4 linked regions of the Tribolium castaneum genome follow. The protein of the gene in region 1 interacts with the protein of each later gene in a pairwise test. Links are inferred from orthologs where the notes say so. Each region holds a gene or a part of one and is shown in the gene's direction. Other genes may lie near its edges.

The links.
Region 2: the proteins of dlg1 (region 1) and gukh interact in a two-hybrid assay, tested with the Drosophila melanogaster proteins (4 studies listed by BioGRID). The link is inferred for Tribolium castaneum from reciprocal best matches to the Drosophila melanogaster genes dlg1 and gukh.
Region 3: the proteins of dlg1 (region 1) and Sh interact in binary tests that used the Drosophila melanogaster proteins (3 or more experiments, as listed by UniProt). The link is inferred for Tribolium castaneum from reciprocal best matches to the Drosophila melanogaster genes dlg1 and Sh.
Region 4: the proteins of dlg1 (region 1) and Vang interact in a two-hybrid assay, tested with the Drosophila melanogaster proteins (3 studies listed by BioGRID). The link is inferred for Tribolium castaneum from reciprocal best matches to the Drosophila melanogaster genes dlg1 and Vang.

The regions. Positions count from the first base shown.
Region 1 is NC_087397.1:8,451,277-8,456,993, reverse strand, and holds the start of dlg1 (disks large 1 tumor suppressor protein), read left to right. Parts: upstream 1-1,943; 5' UTR 1,944-2,105; intron 2,106-5,717. UniProt on the Drosophila melanogaster protein: During embryonic development, some isoforms are essential for proper neuronal differentiation and organization. Required for cell polarity; maintenance of apicobasal polarity.
Region 2 is NC_087397.1:4,770,972-4,776,667, reverse strand, and holds the start of gukh (uncharacterized protein gukh), read left to right. Parts: upstream 1-2,265; 5' UTR 2,266-2,426; coding exon 2,427-2,715; intron 2,716-5,696. Other genes in the region: uncharacterized protein LOC664107, read left to right, coding at 1-120.
Region 3 is NC_087394.1:28,574,041-28,579,705, reverse strand, and holds the start of Sh (potassium voltage-gated channel protein Shaker), read left to right. Parts: upstream 1-1,815; 5' UTR 1,816-2,352; coding exon 2,353-2,486; intron 2,487-5,665.
Region 4 is NC_087397.1:2,595,935-2,601,618, reverse strand, and holds Vang (van-gogh), read left to right. Parts: upstream 1-1,797; 5' UTR 1,798-1,814; coding exon 1,815-1,918; intron 1,919-1,967; coding exon 1,968-3,510; 3' UTR 3,511-4,031; downstream 4,032-5,684. Other genes in the region: Pfdn2 (prefoldin subunit 2), read right to left, coding at 397-691, 849-988.

The DNA.
Region 1 (5,717 bases):
CCATGCGGCAAGTTATCTCTTCTTGCAAAAATAAAATTACTAATTTTCAGCAGTTTGGAAGCTCGTAATCAAATGTTCCAGTTTCTTCTGAATGGAGCAAATGAGCTCCCGAATTTGCATATTCTGATTAGCAAATTTTTCTCAAACGGACTATGAATTTTACAGAAAAAATTGAACAGGCAGTAAAACTGCAAAAATGAGCTGGTGTAGCTTGAAAAATATTGTGAAAACGTGCACGGAACTAGATTAAATTACTTTTAACTGAACCAAATGTGTTTGCTTTCTGTGTGACAATAAAAAATTTTGGCCCTCATGAATATAAAGGATCAAACAAAGCTCTGGTGCCACACTCTTTAAAAATCAAACTCCGCTTTGTACTTTAAAGCTCGTTAGGCCGATTTTATTACTGGGTGTTGACCAACCCTTTTGCAGGTTTATCTTGCATTATCTTTTATTGCGTCATTATTTTAATGAAAAGTGAGACTTCCCACCTATCTGGAGTAACATTTTCATTCCCAGCTTGTGCAATAAAAATTACACAGTTGGGGGTAGGACAAGAAGCCTCTGTAAAGCACTTTCTTGTTTAATGAGTCACGTATTTCGGTGTCGAATACTCGAGCTCCGAATGTAAAGGCTTATAGGCAGCAGGATGTGATATTATTAACTTTAATTGTCAACGATAACAAACAAGTCCAAATAACACTTTTTTATTAAACGGCTTCTGAATTAAGTAGAAGATTCGTTCTTTTCATTTTTTTTTTCAGATTGATGCAACCTTCTTTAGGAACTTGTCGATATAATAGGATTTGGGTGTAATGACAGTCGGGATTCGTTTCGTCTATTTGATCATCGTTTAGAAAGGCGTTCGATTTGTTGTTTATTTGCTTTCACAATTTAGATTTATTTGCATTTTGCAGGCTTTTTTGTAACACAATTTACCGTTTTCGTATCGATTTTGATCAGCCAATGCGAGATTAGGTAAAAGGGTTTGTCTGTTTCGTTTTAATCTTCCAACACATACATCGCAATTGTTAAAAATAGCAGGCGGCAAATAACATTTTCAAACATCAACTTACTCATAATATTGGATACTAAATTAGTGACAAAATTAATCTAAAGTTGACAAAATTGCTCAGACGTTCTCTAAATTTTAGAACAGAAAGAAGTCTAGAAAGTAGACAATTTTTGATTTTATATAAGATGTGTGAAAAATGTCCAAATATCTGTCTGGTTTTTAGTAATTGAGAGGGTTCAGTGATAAGAGGATTCTATATGATGAGAGGTAGTTGTGACGTCACGATTTCTTTCTTTTGCAGCGATTATCTCACGTATTTCTCATTGCAGGAAATTTTGAAAAGAATCTACTGGTGTTAAACAAATGATATTTTCAATTTCTTAAAACATTGAACTGATAATTTATGTTGTTAATGTCTTTAAACCCAAGGTGCGGTTTAGTTTAAACCACGCTTTAGACAATAAGTTGCACTTATTTACGGTGCAGTTCATTTGACACACTTGTAAGCAGAGCTTATATATTAAGCCATACCGCACCGGTACAGTTAGGCGTTTTTTCGTTCTTATTGAAATAATTATTGCAAATAAAAACTTTTAATCAATTTTGTTGAAAACTTTCCGCTTTTGCCGGGTTTCTGATTCTTGATTTACTTTCCATGTAAATATTTTTTGTTTGGTTTTTAATTGAGTTTTGCGACTTTTTTCCGATGTAACTTCTTAATTAGTCAGGTCCTTAATACATATATTAAAGGAGCTGCGTTCTCAGATCTCAATTTTCATGCAAATGTCACTACATATTTATGGAAGAGGGCAGATTAACCAAGTGCACACCGTCGAAGAGCGGCGGAGAGAGGCAAAAACACGCAGTCGCGGTGTGCACGAGGCGTCGGAAGCGTCGAGATGCCGCCGTCCCCAGTTCGCGGCATCCGCGTTCCATGACTGGTGCACTGAAGAGGTACCTGTTGAAAAACGAAACTTTGCAGTGACATTTCGTGCGCCGATACATTTAGCTGATGTTTAGAGGACTCTTGGCGAAGTTTGTGTGGTGCGAGTGATTGTGTTAGGTGGAGTTTTACTTCTTTGCTTGGGTCGTAAGTAACTTAGGGCTTGTTGGGAGATGTGAAAACGCCTCGGATAACGGTCCAAGTTTCGCTTTTAATTGTACTTTACCGATTCGAAGGGAGAAAGAAACACAATAATAAAAAACGATATTATGATATCTTCAGTTTTCTTTGCAACTTTCAAATGAGTTTAGGAAACTCAAGTCTCGCACCGCCTGTGTTCATAAGGATGAAATACGATAATCTCTTTCCGTCCGATAGCGTAAGTGTCAAAACTGCGAAAATGTGATAATCACGAATAAATTACTACTCTCTAATCTGTGCTTAATAGCATAAAGCACTGTTTGTGAATTCTTAATGAGCTAACTGCTGGAGAAGAAAGAAACAAAACGGACAAAAAAATAAATCAATAGTTAACAAAAAATCACAATGGTGTCTGCTTTTATCCTGAAGGATTAGCCACGCCATCCAGTACAAAAATATGAACTGATGCTTTATGCAATCATGGTAAATAATTTTAGCGAAATTAACGCACCCAATAGCTGAAAATACACACAGATATTATGTATAATTAACGTGTACATTACGTTAGTGTTTTTTGCTTCAACTATGCCTGGGTTAGGAGCAATAAAGCTTTTGATTCAAAAAAGCACTCTCTTTTTGTGCTGCGCATAAATTTGATTATTTTTTATTCGGAAGCAAAGCTTTGTGAATTTATAATTGTTTTCAAAATTATAAAATCTATTAGGACTGATTTACTTTGAAAAGCGCTTCACAAAGCTTAAAAATTTAAAAATAATTATAGTAAAGTAGGGTTTATAGTTAAAGTTTTGGGTCCAAATTGGTCTGCTTTCAACTATTATGACCATGGCCACCGGAAAGCTAATTGTGGTCTGTTTCGAACGCTCTGTGCTAAATTCGTATAAATTTTCTTCCAGTATTTTCCAGTAGCTTTGTTTGAAACAGCTTATTTTCAGTCAACTTGTCTTCAACAAGATATACTTTCATTGTTGAAATTGCTTTTGTAAGTACCTTGCTGTAGAATGTCACTTATAATCAAGCGTAGTTTTCTGTGTAAACAATCTTGATATTGTGAACGTTTGAATATGACAAAGACTATTTAATTTACAATTTTCCAGTGCTAAATATTTCACGTAACTGCAGCGATAATGTATTCATCTAATTATTCTAAATTGTGCACGTTGACTAACTTTGTTTAATAATTAATTTTCATTGTAACCATTATTTTAGTTCGCCTTGATTTCGGATAAGTTTGGCGAAGCTTGATTAAGATTTTCTCGTTCTCTCTGGATTTTACTAATGAAGCTAATCAGGGATCGATTTATTTGGTCTGTCAGAAAAAACAGATCTCTGGAGAATTATTTAATGAAAAATTCAACGTTTACAGTACGTTAAGTTAGAATTTCAATCAGGATTTTCTGATTAACGTTTTGGTGATTATCGTTGATAGGAAGTAGTTAATCCATATCCTTTAAAATCACAAGTTTGATTATATTGTTTGAAAAAGTTTATTTCGGTTTTGCAACAACAAAAACAATAACAAGCTTTGGGATCGTGTTCCATGTTGTTTCTGAATTTTGTTAAAGGACGCGTTGAAGTTTTTAATTCAGGAGCTTTTTGTAGAGTCCTTGTTATACTTTTAGCGAGCGAGAAGTGACAACAATGCATTAACTGCTCAACTGACGCTGTTAAATTTACTTTTTAAAATATCGTTTATAGAACGACAGCTTGAAAAAGATGCTGAAGCGATCACAACTAACAATTTCTGCTTTTTTATTTCGTTACGATATTTCTCTGATGGCAAGAAATGTCATAAATGCTTTGAAGCTCCTGCCTGTAGTTTTTAGCTCGTTATTCATTTACGTGCCAGAACTATGTAAATTTTTGGGGTGAACTGACGACGTGTAGAGAATTTATTAATTCCATAAAACAGTAAGCTTAAGATTTGGGACTAGTTTTTGCTTCTGGAACTAATTAGGTTTCTTTTTCTCCCGAAATCTGTTCGATTAATTAGACATTTAAGCTCCTGTCTTAATTAAATTCGGTCCTAATTAGTCAAAATTACATCCGCGGAATTATTCTTCGTTCAACAAATTTTGAACTTTTTCTCGAGATTACAGGGGGGTGGCTATTGATTCAATTAGTAAAAGTAGCATTATTTTGCTAAGCCACTCACTGTGTGTTTTAGATGGTTTTCAAGTTCCATTTAGCATCTACTACATGTCAGTAGCAACACTTGCAAAGTTAGTGGGCACCTCCATTACAACTTCCACTGTTAAAAGTTTTGTCTTGAGGTTAATTAAAGGGCCACCGCACTGATTAATATTAAATTTAAGTTTGCCATTTTTTGACAGTGAGTTTTAAAGTAAACAAGAAGTTGGTTCGTCCAATTTTCCAAATTGTTTTGATCAAAAGTTTAGTTTGCAAAGTGGATAACCCGTTGTAGTGTAATAAGTTGGGTGACAATATTTTGGACGCCATAAATCGATGAGAGATTTTGCTGTCGGATCCACTTCCTGGCAGTACATTGCTCACCATAAAAGGAGATAATTCCTAACATGTCTTATAAGATCCGACGTTATTTATTGCTTTTTGTACGCTGTCGACAGACCGGCTAGAAGCCTAACAATAAATACATAAAGAAAGTACAATAAATCCAGCTTTCAAAGCATGTCTGAAAATCCCCGCGAAATGCATCTTCAAGGCTGGATCCACTGTACCTCAATCATTTCTTCTTTAATAAACGTGATTTAAGGGCTCAAGTATGATTTCAAACGGAAAACAATTTGTTGAAAATATTGCAAAATCTCAGCCATACTTGGTTTTGTGCTCCTACTTCCCACCGGTTAAATAACTAATAAGAGTAGGTATCTGTATTTATAAAAGAATATCCTAAGTAACATTTTTATTTAACTTCAAGTGGAATTACGAAACATAAGACGAAACCTGCATCGTTTGAAGTCTGAAAAACTGGAATCATTCAGATTTCTCCTCTGTGATATGCCGTTCCGCATCTGATATTAATTGGAAGTTGTGTTCGAGAATTGCTCAATCGAAACGTAGAAGCAGTTACTACAACAAACTGAACACCGTACATAAAAAATGTACGTGCGAAGATTGATCGATTTAAATACGTTGAGAAGCATCAAATTAGAAACGTTCTCCAGTTGCGTATTCTGTGCGCAACTCTAAAGTCGTGTATTATACTTAAATAATAAAATTATAATAACAATAAAGCTTGCGGCGTGATATTTCGAGGATTTGCCATCCTCATGCAAATTCGCGTTAATAGCGAGTGGTTATGGCGTGATGGTTTAAGGCCAATATTTGTTATATTACCGTGTAAAATATTCAAATTTTGCATGTAAAGTTCAGTGAAGTATAATACGAAACAATATCACGCAACGAAATGGAGAAGAGACTTCCTTCGTAGTATTATTTTCGACAAGTTTTGATGTTTTGTTGCGAATTGATATTCGATCCGTAGGGTTGTTCTCTCTCCAGTGCAGGATGAAATACATATTTCATTTGGGTGTCGGCTTTCAAATTTAAATCTCGATGATGGGTCAATTTGGACAGGCTCTACTTTAATAAAAATAAATGATAAAACTTGTAATTACT
Region 2 (5,696 bases), about 3.7 Mb from region 1:
GAGTACACAAACGCGAAAATCTACCCGATGGTCCTCCGTTACACGATGCTGAAGGACATGATCAAAGACATCATGCTCCACCCCGACTACATGGAGGTGTGCCACGAGGTGGACGCATAGCCCAAGTCGTTCTCATAGATAGGATATCGTCGTCGGAGCCTCAGATCGTAACAGTCTCACTCCATCAACCAGGAAATTGAGAAATTGTCACTTTGGTGGGAAACGCTATTTCGTGATTGCAATCGACTCCCATTTGGAGATGTGTCGGCAAAATTATGTCTAAAAGTCGCTTATTTGTGGATTACGTGTTAAGTGAGATGTGATGATTCGAGAATTGGGAAAAAACCGATTGACTCTAGGCCCCAAATTCAGATACTGCGAGCTTTGTTATCATCATCAATTAAAATGGTCGATTGTTTCGTTGAAAACGGGGCTTCAAATTCACTGCCACTAGACGGGAATCCGTGTCGAACAGTATTGCATTCCTTAATACAAAAGAGTGGTGCTTATTGAAGCAATTAAATTATTTGGATCATTATGAACTGTTTTCTCATTAACTGCAGAAGCGATCGTTTTTGTAATGAATGACCCAAGACTGAAGTATTTAATTAAAGACCTTCGTCAAACACTCCTTACCTACCTTTGATCTCATTCCGAAAATCGATGTTTGCAATATCGCACTTGTTTTTATTTTTAGTCGCATTGTCTAGCTTGCGATGTGCCAAACAAATCTCGTCACGGAAATTAAAATACGCCCAAAAATTGCTTTGATCCTAACAAATTTGGCGAAACGTGGCGACTGATTAATGAAACTGCTAATAAAAATCTACTGTTCTACACCTAATCCTCTATAAGGAGATTAATATTGTACCTATGAAAAATTAACGTGCCAGAATGCATTTAATGTGTATAATATTCTGGATTGATGTGATGTCTTCTTGTAACTTTTGTAGACCCCAACCAATCTCTAAAATAGCGTACTCGTTATGTAACAATAGGTAATAGATGATAGGACATTTGGGTGCCCGGTAGAGACATCCGTTTACAAGAATCGTCTAAAACACCAATTTGTTAATCGATTGTTTCTCGTAGATTTAGATTTTTTACTTTCTTTCTAACATTATCTGTGTCAAAATGACAACATTAGTAATAGCTTTAAGAAACGTACTTATAGGCTAGTTATTTTGTAAGACTTTTTTCTAGTTTTCTATCATTTCGCCTACGTAGAAAACGATAGCTGTATGTCTTGTTGTAGCACGATAGGGTTCCACTTCGTTACTTGACGGTGTTTTGCTAAGTCCCTCATGAAGTTCGTTATTTCCTCGGTAAAGTACAAATTTATTTAAATGAACAGACACGCTTAAAGTACACCCCTTGTTTCGCCTATGGACTTGTCAATGTATTACTAACGCAAAGAAGATGGTTGTTTATATGTGATGATGTATGTGTAAAAATATATTTAAGAGATAAATATTCCATGTTAAAATATTACAGGGTTTGTTGACGCTTTCTTTTTCGTTTCGTTTTTAAATGTTTTAACTATAATGTGCTTAAGTAAGCTGATGAGGTTTTTTTACATAATCATTAACGTTACGAATTTATCGTGAAATATCAAATTAAAAGTAATATCGCCCTGTTGAATATCATATTAATATTGTTATAAGGGAACAATAATATTTATTCAAGAATTATAACAAGATTTTATTTTGTATATTGTCGCATATAATTATGCAAAACTATATAATATACTGTATATGTGTACAATAATGTTGCTTTGTTAATAAATTTTGTGCCAGACCTTTGTCCTTTATTTCGCCTCAGGCTGAAGGGTCGTGGAAAGAATGGGGAATAAAAACCACTGGTGAATGTAGTCTCTTTATTACAGATTATTTTATAGATTTTCTACCGAAAAAAAGAAATCTATCTTTATAGCTTTGCTTCCTCATGTCTTGTTTTTGAATGAGATAATTGGCGCAGTCGGTAGGATTTGCAGGACCGCTTTCGGTCTAATCTCAAATAAGTGATATTTTCATTATTTAATCCAGTGAACGCAAAACAATGTGCACTCTATTGCTGTGGCCATACACTCGAGTTTCATTTGTTTAGATCTTATACTATGGTGCAGATTGCTGTTGCCTGTTATTAGTGCTTGGGCTATCGCCTGCTAGATGCGGCTTCAATCTAAAAACTTCGGCGTCATGCGCTTTGGTTTCGATTCAAAAGCTCAAACAGCGGGAAAGCCCCGGTTTCGAACCGTGACCGGTGCGGTATCGGCAACCTCGTGCATTTGTTTGCCGGCAATCTGACAGTGAGGTAGCTGCGCGTCCGCAAGGCGCGTATCTTCGGATTCAAAAAATGGAAAACTTGGTAAAGACTCACAGAATGTGATAGTGCGCGAACTGAGTGAAAATGAAGTGTTGGTGAAAATGCCGTTCGTGCAGCGAGTTGTCGAGCCGAAATTTTTGAGTCGGACGAGTCTCTGGGACGAAGAGGGCAAGCCTCTGGTCTCCGACGATGAGCTGGAGGCCGTCACCAACAACACCCTGAGCAATGCCTTGCGGCAACTCGCCTCCTTGGTGCTGATCGCCGATGACATCTTCGCCGAACTGGGCAGTCAGCTCAAGGAGATCAACAAGAGGTCCGAGGGTCTGAAGGCGAAGATCGCGGCTGTGGAGGGAAAGGTGTCGGCGTTTGATCCCAAGAAGGTTACAGTTCGTAAGTAGTGGTTTTGTATTGGCGTTCCTCAGGTAGAATTATTTCGTTGATGGCGCGCTGTAGCCTTGAAATACCTTCAAGATTTACTGGATACATACTTTATCGCGATCGATTGTGTACTAAGGTCGGCGAGAGAAGTAAAAAAATTCAAGAAACGTGCCTCCATCGGCTCGGGTTTTGTACTTTTTCTGATTCTTGTCTAGCGTTCTCAAAGAAACAAGGTCGCTATACCACCTTTGCCTTACCGGAGCTTTTTACAATTTTTCAACCGACTCGCATCGCGACCTCCACGTCGTTAACGAAGAACAACCATTCATTATTATTCCGCCTGGTCGAAGCTCTAATTGAAGCCTGATTACCTCCAAATGCTGAATCCTTATTCCTTTGACTTGCCCGTCAAAACTTTGCATACTTAATTTATAATCTACCATCGACAAGTCGCAACGGAAATTGCATAAGTAATTATCCTTCAATCATCCAAAGGAGTTGCAAAAATCACCACTCTGATCACACTCAAGTTTTTAGTAAAATAACTTTTAGGAGGAAGTCCAAAATGAAAAAGAAAGTCACAGAATAAATTAAAACAGGTTGACCATGAGAGGAAATTATGAATATCTGGGCATGCCATAATAGAAATAAATTGGTGTTTGCATAACAACATCTATAATTTTTCCAAAAACATGCATTCATTTTATGTCCAGCTGTTCACGTTCATAGTCGTTTTGTCGTCTGTTTTGCATACACGTTTGTTTCGTTTTATGGATAAATCATTAAAACTTTATGATTGAAACAATCAAATACAAATTAACTGAATTTTTCTAAGAGTTGAATCATACCATAACATAATCGGCTGTTTCAATGTCTAATCTGGTTCTAGCCTTGCTTATATAATAGTATTATTACTCAAGCTTAATATTGGAAGAGGTAACTAATTGTATAGCTTCTGCAAATAAAGCCAAGAATTTAAAGAAACGTCTAGTCATTCCACCTTTATTTGTTACTGAGGGAGAAGCCGGCCTGTTTCAAATTAAAGTCTAAGTAGTGATCTACGAACAAAATATTATTTTCCACAAATGTAATTTGGTGCAATTGATCTTTTTATTAAAGTCCGATGATTGCCAGAAAAATACCGGCCGGCTTTTGCGGTAAATTGGTAAAAACATCGACAATGGAGCGCTTCGTTAAAATCGATAGTCATCTATATGATCTAAGTGGAGGTTATTGGTCATTGTTCGTAAATTTATTATCGTGAATCGTGTGAAGAGCCTGCGATGTGCCCAATCAATTACCCGATAACATCTTAAACCTATTAAAATATTAGTTTACGAGAAGATGCATCACGAATTGTGAAACCCGAGAATTATGGCGAAATATTCTTTTCGAAAACCGAACTGGCTAGACAGCAGCTAGAGGAAGTCTCCAGAAAATTAGTGTACATTCATTGAGAGTAGGAAAATCAGTTTAAACTTGAGCATCCGGCTCTCGTAATGAGCGTAATTATGAAAACTCAGGAGGTCATGCACACCGTGAATGAGATCATGTGTTTCTGTCTAATTAATTTTGATCTTGAGCGCAGTCATTCCGATGTCCTTATTAATTTATTAATTTGTCACGATGAAAGCGAACGTTATTAACGCAAAGTTCACTCTCATTTTACTTTTTTCCGAGGAAATGCATCAACATTCCTCCATTCATCGCTCGTAATCTCCAATCAATTACTTTCAAACGGCTTGATTAAAATTCAAACGGCTCTTTGTCCATACGCCACCTGAAACAATCGTTAGGCGACCGTTGCAAGGTAGTTCTTTGCATGTTATGAAACCGGAAAGCAGAAGGGACGTGGTGTCTGCTCTAACCGTCACCAGCAGTTGGAATTCTTAGGGTGAGAGGAAACGTGAGGCGACAGCTGATCAGGATACGCACCTATGGGGTGTAAAAATACCACGAGTTATTTTGAACGGTGGTGCATGAAGAGCAGCTTCAGACAGTGGAAAACGTGTTAAAATCCACCTGGAAGTAATGAAACAGACAAATAAGGAAGGCCTAATGGCGCTGCACATTGATAACTCTCAGGGGTGATAATTTTTGGGTAAACATGAGAAATTCCTCTGCTGATTAAGCAAAGTCGTAAAAAGTTGGTTCTTTGGTAAATACAGTGAGTGGAGGTGCTTTGGGCTTTGCATTTGCCATTATTGTGCATGTTGCGTTTACGGGTATTAGAATGAATAATGAGCAGTTCATTCCTAGATTATCAATGTTTATGTATTTGTTTACGCCTCATTTATCGCGGATAGGATATCGATTCTGCCTATTTCTTCCTGCGGACTTGGCCAATATTTTATCTCATTCGTTCTATTTGCTTTAGTTGATACAATAACTTTCAGGAACACCTACTAACTCCACACACTGACTACTCCACTTATTACTTTTATCGTTTTTATGTACCAAGTTTCCGACGCACGGGGCTTCCCCATTTGAAAGTGTTTTATCACAGACGGCAAGTTTGCTACAAGATCAAGATTGTCTGCAGCTTGAAATAATTCAGGTCTAAAACGACTTCCATCTGAATTAAATGAAATGATATTTTGAAATCGCTTGAATGGCGGCCAGGTGGAAGAAGTTTGGCCATTATCATTAATTTTTTCACTCTTGATTCTCTTTAAATTGCTTCGAAAAGCAAAACGATCGGATTTTGAAGTTGCTGAAAGGAACTTTCAAGCAATTTGTCATCGCGCCTCATCAAAACCACAAATGAATCTCGATTGAAGCAATACAGAGCGTGTCATTGCATTCGGTGCATTATGAGAGGTCGTGCACCATCTCGGTGAATGGTCGTTCAATAATAGTCAACATTCTATGACCACACGATTAAATTATGCCTCACTGGTTCGCAGTTTTTAAAACTCGTGCCGTCTAATTAAATAATGTTAATTACGGGCCATTCATCACAAACGTGTTTAGAGAATTAAATTTGTAGCTGT
Region 3 (5,665 bases), on another chromosome or scaffold:
ACTCGACTTAACTCCTTCATCTGTATATCTAATTCCATAGAGTTTTTGTCAGTTTGAATTTTTTCTACATATTAGTTCTAATTTTTTTTCTTCTCTAATTTTAATTGTTACTTTAAAACTGATGTGGACTTTTGAACGTCTTCTATCACACAGTTTTTCTAGATAATTTTGTAGGGGACTGTTTCAAATGTAAATTTCACTCGTAGCTTATCCAATTTTCAACTTAACCTATTGAAAATGAAAATTCTGGGATAATCCTTTTTCGTCTTCTAAATTAAAAGTTCTTTAAAATTATGGGTTGGTGTTGTCTGAAATAATTAGATACGTTTACGTGTCCGTCTACACCCTAAGTATAGACTTTTTGTTGGTAAATTATAATATTCAAACAATAAAGTTTACATATCTGGTTCTTTTCCTGGCTTTAGTCATTCCTCCAATAAAACTTTTTTCTAATAAAACTGGCTCATAGTTAAAAGCTTAAGTACTCACTAATTGCAATTTCGTTGAATTATCTTACTCTTAATAGTAAACAAATCTTAAAATTGAACGTTTTAAAATCGAAGCAGTTGACGTTTTCCTGCACTTTTACGGTTTCTAGAGGGTTGTAAGACATCATCGTTGTAAGGTAGAAAAGTGCATACAACGTTGTTGGCGCAATTTTTATTTTTATTTTTTTTTGTTTTATTGAAAGTAAGGCAAGAATTAAAAAAAATAAATGTCAAAAATTAGTATAATATGAAAAATGAATCGTAGAAATTACTGGAATAAACCGTTTTGCTGTAATACTTTTAGTTTTCCAGTTATGAATTTTTTAGAGAAAAATTATAAATGTTTCTGTCACCGGAACCGTTGCGGAGCAGCTTCAGATTTTCACTAGGAGATAGGAGATTTTAATGTTCCTCTGAAGCTTTCTCAATCGTGCAACATATTGCTCACTTTCTGGATAATTTCTGTTTAATTTCTTGCTGAAATCAATTTAAAAGACTTTTGTGTTCTCGCTTTAAATCACTTGCTGTTACTATTTCAAGTTTTCAAAGCTTCAAAAATGTATTAAAATGATCTCTCCTAACAACGAAATATTTTTTTTTATAATACCCTTTAGATGAAAATTTTACGTAATTAGGTACAACCTTTTCATCTGAAACATTTTGGATACAACGTGAGAAACTATATACGCAGTGTTTTTGTTATTTGTTCTTTTGTTTAAAAAGTCTAAAGGAAATCCGGTGTATTGAGGTGCACTTTGTGCGGAAGAGCTTTTTCGTATTGTAACTTGTTTTGTTTATCTGCATTGTTTCCTCTATGCTAGGAAAAAATCCAATTTTCCAATTAAGGTAGTATTTTTTGTGTTCTGTATTAACAATGCCCGGAATTTGCTGTATGTGGTGTCTCCGCCTTAGGACGTTTGCAGTGTCGCACATCCGCATTGTAAAATATTTGTGCAATATTATTAAAAGGCATTGGAAGTTTCAATATTATCTGCAGAGTGTTTCAATTGGATACTTTCCAAAAGTTGAAAAAAATTGAAGCGATGTATGAAGCTGCGGGATGGGTTTGGGGGCGCGTGTCGCGCTGCGGCATAGTACGTTTGTAATTTTATGGGCGCCGTCGTCTGCGAAGAGGAGTCCTGGTGGTAATTGCGTGTGGGGTGCAGGTGGAGGGTGTCAGTGGCGGTTGCCGCAGGATGAATGGACGGATGAGATGCGCTGGTGCTGCAGTGCGATCTCCCATCACAGTGGCCCAGGTGGTCCGCAGTGGGCGGCGCCTGCGCCCCATCCTGCGTGCCCCGCGAAGTCAGGCCCGGACCTCAGTGTACCATACGCGTCGCGACGCGTCTGCCCGCCAACTGACGCCGCCGCTGCCGACCTGCACCTGTTGGAACGCCGCCGCCGGCCCAGGATGCCTGATCTGTTGGACTCGAATCGGGCGGTCTTCGACGCTCTCTCCGGCTCCCGGAACCGCTCGGAGGACGAGGACCACGTGCGCGATTAGTCCACGTGCCCATCGGACTTACCAGGAGGTCAATTTTAAAAATTTTCACATCTTGCTCAATGTAGTTTAGCTAGTTTATAGATAGTTTTGGCAGTTTTTCGCTACTTTTATCCAGTTATCTTCCATTTTTACATAGTTTGTAGAAGTTGTACATAGGCTTCGTTATTTCGACCCTCATCCAAAATTAACGCAATTGTTCGAATTTAGAGTATTAGTTTTAAGGAGAGTTTCAAGTGCGACGATGGTGCTGTTTGGTTGGAGCTTTTGCAGTGATTAGTGTTGTTTGTGACTTCCTGGTGTTTGCACCGGTTGTGAAGTTTTTTTTTTCGGTCGGGGGGTAAATGGTGATGATCCGCAATCATGACGATGTGGCAGAGTGGGATGGGGGGGCCCGGGGGCAAGAACAACGCGTGGATGAAGCTGATGGGGATCGTCCACAAAGAGCGCCGACACCACGACTCCGGAGCCACTTCCACAGATCGCACACTTAGCCAGTAAGTAGCGCTGACACCCTCCCGAAACGAAAATAATTTTTCTTATTACACGATAAAATTTAATTTTATCGACTGCCCGAAACTGTTAAAAATTTGCAAATATGTAAAACTATATTTGTTTCTATAGTAAAATTACCTGTAAACATTTTTGCAGAAGTATACGTGAAAAATAATTATTTTTTGTGATACCTAACTTTTGAAAAATTAAATGAGAAACTATCAGTATCTTTAAGTCCATCCAGAAACTGTATTTAAGAAAAAGTAAAGTATTCAGGGTGTTTTAGAAATATGTTGTCAAACTTATGGTGGCGGGGGTTATTGGGAGCATTACGACAGTAAATGCATCTAACTCTTAATCCTTTGTCCAAAAAGTGATATTTTCTTGTTTATGCCAAAGACCAAAGACTTACATGTTTATCTTCTCTGATAAATTTATTTACACTTGGTGGTAAAACTTAATTTTCCGTTTTACATGAACTTTTTTTGCGACAAAAGTTTGCTCTTAAACTGCTGAAATAGTCGCATTTAGTTTGAAGAGTACGCAATTATGAATAGATGATGCATTCTAAAAAATGGCTCCAGTGACAAAACGACTTATTTAGTATGGGTTAATGGGCAAAAAATTTCCACCAAAATGAAAGCTATACCCTCCTAATTTTTCGCTAAATGGTTTTTAAACACCGCCTATTTTCGGTAACATTTTCTGAAATACTACTAACCGATCGGAATTACAATAATTGATGTTTTCTAAACTCATATTACTGTTGACTTTTTCTGAAGTACATGTTACAATTGTTCAGAATCTCATTTAGCGTTATTTGAAATACAGCTGAAAAATGTGTGGAATAAAGCATTTTCCTTATGTCCTTTGAAATGAAGAACGTTGGCAACCCTTCCAGTAAGTAGCCATTTTTCACACTTTTCCTTGCCACGTTCCCACCTTCAAAGTGAAAGCTCTTAAATTTAATTATGGACTCAAAAATTCGATTTTAAATCGACTCGAATCGAATGCTAATCATTTCAGCATGAACGATGCCGAGAACATTTGAGGAACACAGAGTGAAAGATATTGAGGGAAAATTGCTCCTTTGAGAGTTCTTATTGAAAAAAATCTCTGAGTCGATTACGCAAATAAAACATTTCAATTTAAGGTGCTACAGTCTAATATATAAAAACTTTTACTCAAATTTGTCTACTTGAGTGATATTTAACGGTTCTAGTGTTTTTGCAGACGAGAGGAATTCAATAAGAATCAAGAAACGTTCAATACGAAGAGCTTGAATCGACATTTGCCTTTGGTTCACATTAAATTAAAAATTAAATTTCAGTTTATTTTAATTATTTTGAAACGTATATTATTTTGTCTGTACACTCATTTAATCCTGCATGAAGCGTCAGCTGCTGATAAAACAGTTTTAATGATTTTTTTTCGCAGAATAGAAATTTAAAAAATCAAACTAATTTGTGGGCATCCAGTAACCAAAACTTGTGTCTTAAAACCCGTCCTGCATTTAAATATCTCGTTATCCTTAATTGAATTCAGTTTTCATCGCTGGCCTATTGCCTTTGTTCCCCAATTTTAGCGAAATAACGAAAATTTCTTTATTTTTCGGGATTAGCGCAGAGATCGCAGCACGAAGCTAAAAGTCATTAAATTTTAACCTTGTAGCCTCGGGTTTTGCGAAAAGTAAACGAATGTAGGGTAGAAGAAATTCCCACTGTTTAAATAATTTAGTAGCCTGCACGAGGTCCTAGAAAAGTGTAAATCCTTTGTTATCAAGATTTTTATTTGGGAATTTCTAATGATACACTTGGCGTGCTTTCGATATTATGCTAGCGCTTTGAACTGTTATTTGTCAGTCTTCAATGTAGCTGTCAGTCGTATTCGTGATAACGAAAACCGAGGCTGCGTGCGCTAGCGTTTAATTTACCTGAAAAGAAACTTTAATTATTTCGTTGCTGGAATCAGTCTTTATGAATAAATCATTGAACCTTTTTGATCTTTAGTTGAGATAACAATCCATAATAAAACGTTTGTTTAGAGGTTAAAGAAAAATATAAATGGAGAGGTTTCGCTCGAAACTCCTCCGAGGTTTACCTTAAATTTGCCTCCAATTTTCGGAATGTGATCAGGGTTTTTCCGTTCTCAGCAAAAATAAAAGCGCAGTTTAAATTGTTTCTCTTTTATCTAGATTGTGATTTTAGTATTGATTTGTTGAATAAATTTGGCACAGTGATATATTAAATTTAATTTTAGGACTGTCAGATCTAAATCAAAACGGCCAAAGTTATGCTAAATTTACTGCTGGGTGGGTAATAGAAAAATTTCCATGGATAAAAATAACACATAAATAATGAAATTCATTAATTATTCACGTGGCTAACAAGGAAATGAAAATATGTTTACGTAATTGAAATCGATCGAAAAATTCATATTTTTGATTTGTTTTCTTTCCACAGACATGAAAAAGTTGACTTTGTTCCGGGTCCATAAATTCCCAAAATCAGCTTTTCGAATTTGCTCACATTGACGAATGCTTTTTGTATTATTAAAAAGGTCCAGCGAGAGCTTTCGCTCCAAACACGATCAAGATAAAAAGCTTCACTGACTTTATCCCTCCTAATCCCGACGACCTTTCTAGCGAAAACTCGTGTCAAGAGGACACTGTTCATTATTTTCTCTAAGACAATTATGTCAAATGTATTCAAAACTTTGTTTTGCTCGCCTTATGGTAATAGTTTAACTCAAGCGCATTCTTCGTCGTTAGAGGAATTTTGCGAACTATTTACAGTACCTCCGTTAAATTCAAGCAAATGCTTTACTAATTTAATGCTGGATTTTAGCATGAAAACGATAAATTTTCTGCAGGGACTTTAATGATTACTTTAAATGACTGCTGCCCTTAGAGAGTTAACCCAATTAAAGTGCACGTTCAAAGCTCCACTCGTAATTTGCGACGAATTTTTAACGCCGGAAAAATTAACAAATTCAAATTCTCTCACAGCAAATTAGTTTAGAAACCGATTATTAGTTTTTGACGCATGAAATGTGGTTTACCTCAGTTTTAATGCAATACAGTGTTCTTCTATTTTATAGACCATTTGCAGCTGTACTTCTGTCTGATAAATTGCATTTCCTGCAGTGTCAACAAGCATTTATTTTATTTCCGCACTTTATG
Region 4 (5,684 bases), about 5.9 Mb from region 1:
TTAAGTGCTTTAATTTATTAAAACTTATTAAGGCTTTCATTTGAATTTTTTAGAGAAATAATTTAAAGTCATGGTTAGGCAACCAATAATACAGCCACAAAAAACGAAAGAAATTTAATTGTTTTTTTTTGTTGAATATGCAATTGAGATTATAATTTATTGGTGCTTACGTAATTCGTCATTGGGTAATGGGGGTAAATTAATAAAAAACCACTTACAAATTAAATTTTTATTCGGATGAAATATGTTACATTACCTTGCAAAAAACCAGCACAGCTCTCATAGAAAAAGATGAATTTGTTAAATGCCGACCAAATTCGAATGAAATACATAAAATAAATATTCTACAAAAGAAAAATCCTAGCTTAGGTGTAAATAAAAAAAGCACATGCATATTTAAGACACTAAAACATTTCCTCTACTCTCTGAAGCCGCCACTTGCTCCTCCTGTTTCGGGGCCGGATTATCCAACCCTCTAAAGCTAATGTTATACTTTTCCCTGTATTCATTAATCTCCACACCTTTCTTCGTGATTTGTTCTTTCAACTTTTCAATAAGTTCTTTGAGTTTCTCCAAATTCGCAACAAGTGCCGGAAGAACGTCCTTCACTTTTCGCTCAGTTAAAACCCCCCCGACTAGTCGGAAGCAACGCCGGTCTTCGTTCACGTTTTGTAAAGTGGCGATGACCATTCTGTAAAAGCGAGGTTATGTAACATTTTACAAAAAAACCGGCAACCACGAAAAAAATTTCATTTCAAAAATGAAAATTTACTCAATTTTGAGTAATTTGCCGTGGGTTTCGCCGCCACAGCCCCACGTTTGGGGCCACAACCGGGCCGGAAACTTACTTGTGTTCGTTGGAATCGGCTTCGAATTCCGTCAGTTTTGATGAAAGGGTGCGCTGCTCGGCCCTTAGCGCTTGAAAGCCGTTCAGGATCTCCTCGGGCGTGAGCCCTTTGGACGATTTCTTTTTCGAATCACTTGCCATTTTTGGTAAACATAAATCCGGAATTTGAGAAATGTCACTTTGTCATGGTCACGTGACGCAGCCACATGATGTAAACCTGGCGGAAAGAAAAAACCAAGCGCGTTTTTGCCAATTTTGCGATAACCAGACAATGTGGATTTTTTTTCAATTGAAATTTATCTTCCCGGGTCTAGACTACGTCTATTTTTTTCCTCGTCTCGGTTTCTTTGACTGAAATTCATTGGAAGGAATTGCTCTATTTAGTGTTTTTAGTCATTTTTGGTTTACACGGTAGCCATGTTGCAGCCATAATTTATGGGGCAATTAAATTGCTCCTAAACGTAGGCGTTTACATTTTATAAACTCCGATTTAGTTTTCAGTAAATTTTGAATAAATTTGAATAAAAAAGCATGTGTGGAGTGTCGGAGGGAATTGGTTACGTGTGTGGGGAAAAAACGGTGCGTGTTCCAAGTGCCGTTTGAGAAAAATGATCCAGTTTTATTAGAAAAACGCACACAAGCCGCCGCACTAATTTAAATGCAATTTGTAAACGATTTACGCAACTCTTACGAAACAAATCCCAAGAAAATGCATTCCTCCTGAGCGAAACGAACCCCGGAAGTGGCCTAAGGCTCCAAATAACGGAAATTGTTTGGATTTTTTATGCACAAATACATGTTTACGAAATGTCATCAACGTGAGGAGTCATTGAACTTATTAGTGAAATAATCAGGATTTTTGACGAGAATTCCCGCAAAAGTGTTGATAAAGAACCACTCATGACAGTTTCTTGCAAAAAAAATCCGGCTTTTGGGAAAATACATGGGCAACGAAACTGGACGAGATATGGAGACTGAATCCATAAAATCGGAAAACAGTTCACGATCGAGACGTTCACGGGGGCACCGCGACCGCAACAACTACCGACAGCACTCCCACAGAAGCACCAGGTTCGTGCCCAAACAATTCTGGACCATCTTGAAAGTAATTTTTTTACAGAAGCTCCAAGTCTCGCAAAAACGACGAGATGGCGCCCTTCCAGACGGCCGTGACCCTCACCCCCGACAACCGCGACGGCCAGGAGGTCATCGAGGTGCAAATCCTGCCCCAGGACGACAACTGGGGCGAGAACACCACTGCCATCACCGGGAACACGTCCGAGCAGTCCCAGTCGACCGAAGACGTCAGTAACTGGCCCGGTGAACCTGACACCGGGCTCTCCTTCGTCTGCCAAAGATACATGGGGACGGTGCTAACGTACATCCTTTCAATAGTTGCCTTCTTGAGCCCCTTAGCCATGGTCGTATTGCCAAAACTGGGGTTCTTCCCTGCGCTGTCCTCGCGGCTGGGACTCGCAGACAGCGCGAAATTGTTAGCTTGCGGGGCCGAATGTAAAGGCCAGTTGGTGTCGTTGGCGTTCAAAATGGCCATTTTGGCGGTCGGGGCCTGGGCTGTGTTCTTGCGCAAGCCGAATGCGACCTTGCCAAGGTTTTTCCTGTTTCGGGCGGCTGTCCTAGCCTTTGTTTTAGTCTGTATTTTCGCCTATTGGCTGTTTTATATAGTTCAAGTGACCGAGACTGCGCGTGCCGCCACCACACCGGAGGAAACGGTGGATTATGAGGCCTTGGTGGCTTACGCCTTAAGTCTGACTGATACGCTACTTTTTATCCATTACTTGGCTGTAGTTTTGATGGAGATCAGGCACCAACAACCGATGTATTACATCAAGGTTGTGCGGAGCCCCGATGGCGCTAGCCGCGCCTATGCCATAGGCCAGTTAAGCATCCAGCGAGCGGCTGTTTGGGTCCTTGAAAAGTACTACACTGAGTTCCCCATTTATAACCCGTACTTGGAGCGCATCCCGGTGTCAAAATCGCGCAAAAACTCCTCAAGTTTCAAATTTTACGAAGTGGATGGTGTTAATAATTCCTCCTTGCAACAGTCGCAGTCACGGGCGATGTTGGCGGCGCATGCACGCCGACGTGACTCGAGTCACAACGAGCGCTTCTACGAAGAGCACGAGTACGAGAGACGTGTGAAAAAACGCAGGGCTCGACTGATCACAGCCGCTGAAGAAGCCTTCACTCATATCAAACGCTTACATAACGACCAAGTGCCTGCCATCCCGATGGACCCGCACGAGGCCGCCCAGGCCATTTTCCCGTCGATGGCACGAGCCCTCCAGAAGTATTTAAGAGTGACGAGGCAACAGCCGAGGCACTCCGTCGAGTCGATTTTGACTCATTTAGCCAATTGTCTCAGTAATGATCTGACCCCGAAAGCGTTCCTCGAGCAGTATCTAGTGAGCGAGCCCGTTTTGCAAAATGATAAGGAAGTGAAGGATGTGCAGACGTGGGCGCTGATTTGCGAGGAGTTGCTAACGCGCCCGATTGGAGACAATACGAGCTTTCAGTTGAGGCAAAACGATGTCTCGCTGCTTTGCACGATTAAAAAGATCCCGCATTTTAATATTACGGAAGAGGTTGTTGATCCGAAGAGTAATAAGTTTGTTTTGAGGCTGAATTCGGAGACCTCGGTATGACCTATAGTTTACGATCGACTTATTTAAGCACATATCGGTTTGTAGTATTGTATAATTCGTGGTCAAGCGGTTATTCTATTCCTCCTTAAATAATTAACGTTATTACAAGACTTCGTGTAACTAATAGGGTGTAAATAATTTCCGTGGTTGTGTAAGACCAAAACGAAATTTTTATCAGTTTTATGTGATATTTTTTGCAATAATGTTTATTTCAGCTCAAAATACTCGTAATTTATTTTTTACTCGTTTTATGAATGCACAAAGTGTAAATTATAGCACAAGTAATTGTAAGGCAGGTACTTAAGTATAGCGTCAACTGATGTAGATACATTTAAGAGGTTTGAGTCCAAAGATTCGGCATGTTTGGACTGTTTGTGCCTAAAATTTGTAAGATATGTCAGTGCAATTTTTTCCGTAGCTCTAGCTTATCTCAAAGGATCAGTATTCTAAAAATGACATTAAATGTAGCCTTTTATATCTCTTTGTGTATGTACACCGATCTGTGACCGTGTTTTGAATAAATGTACTAATTTGTAATAGTGTTTTTTTTAAACCTATCATTTTTCTGGGGTTATATTCAGGCATCCCGAACTGATATAGCCAAATAGAGCCCTCACTGACACAGCTTCCTTGATTATTTTATTTATAGTTACTGTATTTAAAATGTGTCACTCAAAATTTCACTTTTCAACACCGCATTTAAAGATTTTAACTGCAATTAAGTTTTATGAAATTATTGGTTTGTGAAATAAATAAATACGACACAGCAATAAAATAGACCTACCTTCATATCGCTTCCACGTTGGCTACCGTTTGTAGCATTAAAAAAATTAAAAACAACACCAATAAAAAATCTTTATTTGCATGAAAATTACAAGCGACATAATTTTACGGCTGTAAAAAACAATCAACAATGTTATATTTAAGGATTGCTCTAATTGGTCAAATTAGTCAATAACTAATTTGTCCGGCAAGAACCACGTGGAGGTTTAGAGCATTCTTGCCAGGAAAAAAGGATATAAGGATGAGGTAAACAATGATTATTTGAAAATGAAGGGAATAAAGGAATTATTGGTTTGTGAAATGAAAAAATAGTACACAAAAATCAAAGCTTTTTCACTTGGCGTTAAATAAATGCTCTTACCTTTTGAACTGCATCTGCTACCATTTGTAGCAAAACCTAAAAAATAAATTAAAAACACAACCAACAAAAAAATTAATTTGTAGGAAAGTTACAACAAGCGACTTTAATAAATATTATACAGAATAAAGGATACACAATACGGTATAATATATGGCACACAAGCTATTAAATCAACACATCACAAGATAAAACGCAAAAAAATGCACCTACCTTCATATGGCTTCTGCGTTGGCTACTGTTTGTAGCAAGACATTAAAAAATAAAAACAACACCAATAAAAAAATCTTTATTTGCATGAAAGTTACAACAAGCAACGTTTGTCAATATTAAACAAAATAAAAAATACACAATACGTTTTAATATGTGGCAATTCAAATTCAAAACTTCAGTAAATAAATACACCTACCTTCATATCGCTTCCACGTTGACTACCGTTTGTAGCATTAAAAAAAATAATAATAATAAAAATGAAACCCAAAAAAAAATGTTTATTTGCTTTAAATTTTGAGCAAGCCACTTTCATTCATTGAAATTAAAGACAAAATTATTACGTGGCAATATATTGTTTGAGTGTTTGATTTTGTTTATAGTTACTGAATTTAAAATGAGTCACTCAAACTATGACTTTTCAACACCGTATTTAGAGCCGGTGTACACAACATTGTAATTGCAATTAAATTTCATGAAATTATTGGTTTGTGAAATAAATAAATACGACACAATAATAAAATGGACGTACCTGTATATCGCTTCCACGTTGGCTACCGTTTGTAGCATTAAAAAAAAATTAAAACAACACCAATAAAAAAATCTTTATTTGCATAAAAATTACAACAAGCGACATAATTTTACGGCTGAAAAAAACAATCAACAATGTTATATTTAAGGATTGCTCTAATTGGTCAAATTAGTCAATAACTAATTTGTCCGGCAAGAACCACGTGGAGGTTTAGAGCATTCTTGCCAGGAAAAAAGGATATAAGGATGAGGTAAACAATGATTATTTGAAAATGAAGGGAATAAAAGAATT